Linked DNA regions of Kluyveromyces lactis. Each later gene encodes a partner of the first gene's protein in a complex. Links are inferred from orthologs where the notes say so. Each region holds a gene or a part of one and is shown on either strand. Other genes may lie near its edges.

Region 1 (4,083 bases):
GTAATTGACCATGGCGGCATGTTCTAAGAATAGAAGCTTTCGTTTCGTAACAAAACAATTGTATAGAACAGCCGCAACATTATCAGTCCTTTTGAAGTCCTCAAATGATAAAAATATTTTGGATAGGTAAACAAGAACATAAATTACAGCTTCCTCATTCAGGTCTTTAATGGAATTATTGACAGAAATGATTAGACTATCACACAATCTCGAGGATGATTTGTTTAAGGCAGCTTGATACAAAAAAGGTCGTAGAAGTGCATCGATCTTACCTGCAGAAAAACTCTGGAGGCGCAATTGATTTCTTATTTCCGTGCAAACGTCCTTACCTATAACATCAGTCCTCAAAAATTCGGTCAAGTTCACTTGATCGTTCTCCATATGTTTCGTATACTCATCATAGTATTTCGGTAAATAGATGTGGCAGTTTACAGATATATCCTTTCGAAGTAATTTGGTAATTTGTCTTTGAAACGTCGAAGAATCCATATTCTTTATGTAATTACCAAATTCGAGTTTGAACTGATTCACATACTGAACGAATTTGAGTCCAAACAAAGGCTTGAATCCAGTTAGCAATGTAAAGAAGTTTAATATTAGCTTCACCAAAGCGTGGACTTTCACATTAGGGTCTTTCAGAAGGTATCGCGTATCATGAGCAAAGCATTCCAAAAGACTTTCCGCGTGTCTTTCTGTCGTTCCTGTTTTCAATATCAACTGCATTGTTATTACTTTTAATGTTGCTAAGTAATTCTCATTGCCCGCAGAAAAATCACTTAACAAAACGTCATCAATACCTTTGGCCTTAATTAAATTGGTTTCGTTGTATAGCATTAAGATCTGATTGCTAGCTTGTGTCAATTTGTTTCTCTCCATCAAAAAAATAATCCAATTCATATGCTTTTTCGGAAGTTCCTGAAGTTTCTTCAACTGATGACGCCAGATCAATTGGCGATATAACTGAATGAAACTATCATTTACTTGAATGTAGTTCTCAAAATCTTTGCTCTTATTATCCACAAAATCGTACAATTTCTTCCAGTCAATCAGGGAGTTGGTATTATTCTCCTGTGCTGTAGTTATCTTCGAACTATTTGACGTAGCCTGCCATTCCGTATCGTATTTTGTTGATCCAGCGTTTAACGGTCTTCTAACTCTGTTGTCAACTTTCATATCACTCAAGACACCTTTCATTTCGATATGACTGCTGTCTGTTTCAAACGTACTACAGTATGGGCTAAAGCCTGGCTACCCAATATCCACGAAGTTGGCGGGCTGATATGTGTATAGTCTCTAGTTCTTTCTGCAATCTGCCACTTTCAAGTACAGAATCTAATATGTAAACAAAAACAATTCTTTATTTGTGTTATTGTAAAGATTGACATTTAATATGAGATGAATAAAAGACTATGAGATGAAAACCTATAGATGAGACAAGCATTGCAAAGCTGCTAAAGTGCTGCTGACGTGATAGATTGTATATTATAGCGCACAATGTCCGGGATTGATAGTACTTTGTTGAATGAGAAATGTGATAAAGATACCATTTATCAGGTACTAGAACGAATGTCATCAAAGAAACAGCATTCTAGTAACGAAATACTCCCGATAATCAAGAATGTGGTACCAATATATCCATCGCTACCGAGAGAATTAAAGATGGCACTACGCAGGCTATGCGGTAATAATTACATATTCATATCATTGGTTATTGAGTATGCAAAAGAATTGGGTAAGAATCGTGAGACGTCAATATTCTACGGCTTTTTAACGGATGTTCTTAAGTATGAGAGTGATTGTCTATTCAATTACTTAGAGCATTCGTCAAGAAGAGATCTCCCTTTTATCAAATCGATTCTGTTTGGAAGCAGATGTTATAACGCTTTAAGCAGCAGTATTTCCATCGTTGAATATTTAAAGTTTATGAAGATGCAATGGGAATTTGTCTTTAAAGAGACGAAGCAATATGATAAGACGCATCTCGAAATGTTCGTTTCATGTCTACAGCTCAATATTCCTTATGGTGTTGATATATTCATTGAAGGGCTTGCTACTACTAGTGAATTTTCATGGAATGCTTTGATTATGATGTTATCAAAGGGGACCTCAGTTCAACAGAGGAGATTTTTCATGTATCATTTGGTCCCGTTCCTTGAAAAAGTAACTAATCCTGATAACAGCTCTACCATTTTCACACTACTATCCCAGTTACCATTCGATATCCCAACTAGCATAGATTGCTTCAAATGGGGAAATCCGTATTTTAAAATTGTTTACTTGCATGGTATGTCAGAAGCGAAACGTGCACAGCTCTTCAGAGAATTACTACCATGTTTTGAACTGATGGATTTATACACAGATGATTCACTCGCTGAAATCTTGGTAATGATATTAGATGCCATGTCTAAGGATTCCAGAGATGAACTATCGCATGATGCAATTTCCTTGAATTTTGTCACCAAGAGACTTCATTCTGAGGATCATCTGGTTAGGGAGCGTACTATGTTTGTTGCCAAGAAACTTACAAATGATCAGCTTCAATATGAAAGCGATTTTACAATCGATTTGCCTCGAATTGAACTAATCAAGCTATCCAAACTTGAATTTCCCATTAAGGAAGGACTACAAAATCTGCCAAAAGGGAACTCTACAAAGAATGAACTTGTACAGCAATTTAATACCATAACTTTGCAGGACAGTGACGATGAATCTGATGAAGAAGATTCTAGAGACATCTTGTTCCTCAAAGATCTTTTGCTGGAATTCGAGAAAGTTATCAAGAATGATGGGTCCGAACTTAGATTGCTAAAGGAAACTGTGAAGTTAGTACGACAGAAGAAGAACTTCCCAACAGAAGTATCTTTTTATTCTAAAGAACTCCTCAAAAAGATAGCCACCATATCGAACAAGTTTGACGAAAAATCATTTGAAGAATGGAAGGCTAATGCATTAGTTAGCATATTGGTTGTATGTCCAGACAAGATTGTCGATCTTTATGCAATTCTCTTCAATAACGAGTTATCGTTGCAACAAAGGATGGTAATCTTGACATCTGCAGCATTGAGTGCAAGGGAACTACGGGGTTTTGATGATGAATTTGTGGTGAAACCTAAATACGATTTTCCTACTAATCGATTACCATGGGATGAATCGGCCACTGAACAGCAACCTGAAAATAATAAGATACAAGATATTACTGAAATAACAGGAAGCAAGGTTACTTGGAGATCAAAACGTTTAGAGACTGATAGTAAGATTACACAACAGCAGAATAATTTTAGGAAGTACGCTACACTCTTCTTCTATCCCTTGGCACATGCTTGGTTGAACGGAATTAACCTTGGTGCATTCGATAAAGTGTTCAAGAGACACTACATATCTATGCTCAAGATCATTTTAACTTGTGCAAGTCCTCATTATGAGCTAGAAGAGATGCAAATTTTGATGCAAGAAATCCTTTCGGATGCTGTGAAACAACAAGTTCAAACCTCTTAAGACTCATTGAATGACAAAATCTGGGGAATTCAATGGAGCCTATGGTTAGAGGAAAAAAAAATTTTCATCAAATTACTACCTGCACACGCAATGTATATCTCGACATATTTGACTTCATAACCTATTTACACTGTTAAACCGTCTCGAGCGTGCAACCAAAGGTTTCATTGCTTTCCCATAAGCAGTTAACGAGTTTAGGTGCCCCAGCGCATTGGTCACGTGATTTCCCGAAGCTTCTCTTTTAAGGTAAAGAAAACGCTCAAAAGTTCGGAATAAGACGCTGATCATTACAAACAACCATTCACTTCTGCTCACCGCCAATCTACCGACACGTTAGATCTGGGTAACAAGTAGCTACTTGCGTCAGCCAATGAAACATGGGATATGATATTATATCGCTGTTATTCAATGGCATTAAATCAATTCTGGCATTGATGACGATACTTTTCGTTACGCAACAGATTATATTCAATCTTGCGTTACTATACTTCAATGCTAGGATTGTCATTTCTAAGCTCCAGATTGGATTTTTATTTGGACGAAGCATTTATTGGTTGCATCTTATTTACAAAGGCTACAGTTTTAAGG
Region 2 (3,468 bases), on another chromosome or scaffold:
TGTGTCCAACTCCTCCAATAGAGGTTGACGCTTTCCCAGGATTAGAATCACCTTGGTATATATGTGAAGAATTGAAAGTGCACTGAGTATCAAGAGCGACAGAGCCAATTACCGCAGATAGAACCTTTGTCTCCTTTTCATTGCCTGAAGTTTCCTGGCTTGTCATAGTTCCCCGTTGATTTTTAGGCTCATATCTTGGAATAATGTTTTGCTTTAGTTTAGATAGAGAAGCCGCTATATTTGCTGCAATTTTACAGTTGTTCAGTACAAATGAAATATTACATTTAACAGACGCTCCTGAAGTCTTTGAAGCTATCTCCCTGAGTAAAAAAGGTGTTAACTCTTTACCACTAATACCTGCTGCTGCTGCATTTTGGCATGCTTGTTCTATTATATCGTTAATGAAGTTATCATCCAAAGCCACTTCTCTTGGAGGAGGGCAACAGAATAAGTAGCCCGAATTTAACCCAAATTCATTACCATCTCGTATAATTTGTGCAGCTTCCAGATAAGAGTTAAAATTATAAGGAGATTTCACTCCTGAATCTCTAGTATAGAAACCTGGAACATTCGTCCCCGGGGGCCCCATTGTAGCTACCATGCATCCTTTAGTCTCTAAATATTCCATAGTTCTAGGGATATCCAATATTGCCTTTGGGCCTGCACACACCACGGATACAGGAGTTCTTCCTAATTCTTCTAAATCAGCACTAACATCAAGAGTTAGTTCACCGCCTTTATGAACGCCACCTAGTCCCCCTGTAGCAAATACTTCAATACCTGCCTTGTGGGACAAGATCATCGTACTCGATATTGTAGTGCCTCCATAAAGTTTTTGAGCAATAGTATAAGATATATCACGTCGAGAAACTTTATTTACCAGACCCTTCCTAGCATACTCTGCTAATTGTTCGATTTCTCTCGTCTTTAATCCAACTTTAGGGATACCATTAATGAAAGCTGTTGTTGCAGGTATGGCTCCGTTGTTCCTGATTTCTTGCTCCACCTTCAAGGCCATCTCTATATTTTCCGGGTACGGTAATCCATGTGATATTATGGTGGATTCCAATGCCACTACGGGCATTTTGGCATTCAATGCCTCCCGTATTTCATCAGAGACAGACAAATGCAGCCTTCGATGACCTATCCTTTGTACATGAGACCTCACTGAAGTTCGTAGCATCTTGTCCAGCAGTCAATGCTATCAGTTACCAGAATCACAAAAACACTCTTCAGCGAAGAACAACACTATCAGATAGCCTCAACAGTTATCTTCTCTGTTCGACGACATTATATCTTCTTCCGATATCACATAGTTTTCAGATCCATTTATTTTATATGTCATATTTTTGAGAGCTCATCCCAAATTCAAGCATATTGATGATCGTTACCAAGCCTTGCCGAAAAACCTCAAAATATAGCATTTCTAAGGCCAATCTAGAAGCCAATCGATTATACAATGAATCAACATGTGTTGAATTTTTTATTAAACCTTGAGGAAGACAAATTGAGTGTTCCAAGCAAAGATTCAGTAGAACAATTGATTATTTTCTATGATAAGAATATAAACGTTGAGAATAAGGAAGAATGGTTTACCAAAGGATTGGTCAGCTTGTCATACTTTTTGTTAAATGAACACTGGACAAGGTACGAGCAAAGAGATAGAGTAACACATCTTATAGATAATTATTTGGACCGAGATCATGATTTGGTACATTCCTTCATTTCTGCATTGAAACCAATGTTAATAAAATCGACCGGGATCAATAATGATAATTTAACCCCTTCAGGCCGCCGTAAGATTGAAAGCTCCAGACCTGGCCTACAGCCAAGATTAGGCTTTGAACAAACGTTTGGTGAATCAAGATGGAAAGAATGGAGGACTAATGGTGGATTACGAAGTATTGGGTTATTTTATATTATTTTGAGACACTTAGGGAAGCAGGAAATTTCTGCAAACCTACCCTGGATAAGTCCAGGAATACTTAATATAATTGATGACACTACATTAGGGCCAGAAAATGTGAGAGTTTATGGAATTATGTTGCTCTGCACATTACTAGAATCAGTGTTGAACAAGCGAGATACATATAATTTTAATTTCAAGGATACCGGGCTACAAAAGGTATACGAGCCAATATTGACAAACCTTTTATACAACTTACCACCATCCTCAACTCCAGAAGAGACGCTTCGCACATGGAAAGTGACATATCCTGCGTTACAGCTAATATTGAGAGTAGAAGCTTCAGATAACGATCAAGATTTTAGAGATAGATTAGGGCACATGTTTTCTGAGAATATATTACAACTTACTATTCCAAGAATCGGATTAGACTACCCTGGGCTCTCTTTGTGGATTCTTGGCTATTGTCAAGATGTTGTTCTGATGTTGGGGAAAGAAACAACATTATATTTACAGCGTGTGATATACGTTCTTGGGGAATTCTATTTCAGGAATGCGTTCATGACATTACAAATGCCAATTTTACATAAGTGTCTTGATCTATTGATATTACTCTGTGATCAATGTATTCCAGAGAGTATAGTCAATCAAAGGTATGATATCCTAGCTTGCATTCTACTATGCTATGAAAAATGTTACAACGAGGGATCTTTAACAGCAGATGTCTTAGACAAATGTAAAGTATTATTAGCTAAACTCGAATCATTCGGATGTGATTTCAAAGAAGAATCAAAGAAACTGAAGGAGCGTAAATCTCTTACTAATTTATTTGCATAAATACCTATCTAATTCATCACATAAAGAAAAATACTAACCCTGTAACTTAGCAATCCGAAAATAAAACGAACCAGGGGCGGGGCTCACTGATATATGTACAAGAAGTGGAGTCACACAACGAGCTTTACAGGTTCAGGTTTAGCAGGCGCTACATTTTCTTTTCACATCGCGGAGTGAAATTATTGAATAGATTGCAAACCCTTAACAATTCTGATATTTGTGTCCAAAAATCTGTTAACACAGTTGTTTAGGCATTGTTCTTCTTGAGAAGACAAATCAGCATTTTGAACGTTGCTAATACAGTTTTTGAAACAAAGATTGGTGAACTGATGAATAGACATCTGTACTTTTTGCTTGGAATTCTCGGATTCTAAAAAGGTCATGATTTCTTTCTTGGAACCATCATCCAAGTTAGATAAATCGTTTTGTGAGATAGAAGACATTCTTTGTATATATGTGTGGCTCTTTCCAAACTGTAAAGCGGTGCTGGTAACTATAGGATTGGCGTATTGTTTAAAATTTATTGAAGGTTTCCATCGCTATTTCGCTGTTTTGTTCTTTGTTCAATTCAGTTTTCAGCTTTTTTTTTCTTTTACTTTTTTTTTAGGCATTAAAGCTTTACAAGAAGGCAACCTCGATCAACCAAAAGCCTTGAAATGAGGGAAACTTTATGCCCAGTCACCAGGAAAAAGGCAACTGCCTCGTCAGGAAAGTGTTATAGTACT

What was found.
Region 2: TEL2 (region 1) and TTI2 share a complex: the UniProt entries of both Saccharomyces cerevisiae proteins name them as parts of the TTT complex. The link is inferred for Kluyveromyces lactis from reciprocal best matches to the Saccharomyces cerevisiae genes TEL2 and TTI2.

What each region holds. Positions count from the first base shown.
Region 1 is NC_006040.1:1,280,401-1,284,483, forward strand, and holds TEL2 (Tel2p), read left to right. Parts: upstream 1-1,494; coding exon 1,495-3,495; downstream 3,496-4,083. Other genes in the region: ESP1 (separase), read right to left, coding at 1-1,194; HOB2 (Hob2p), read left to right, coding at 3,873-4,083. UniProt on the Saccharomyces cerevisiae protein: Part of the TTT complex that is required to stabilize protein levels of the phosphatidylinositol 3-kinase-related protein kinase (PIKK) family proteins. Required for telomere length regulation and telomere position effect.
Region 2 is NC_006038.1:366,721-370,188, forward strand, and holds TTI2 (Tti2p), read left to right. Parts: upstream 1-1,459; coding exon 1,460-2,743; downstream 2,744-3,468. Other genes in the region: KLLA0_B04004g (pseudouridine-5'-phosphate glycosidase/carbohydrate kinase family protein), read right to left, coding at 1-1,183; protein transporter TIM8, read right to left, coding at 2,923-3,186. UniProt on the Saccharomyces cerevisiae protein: Component of the ASTRA complex probably in chromatin remodeling.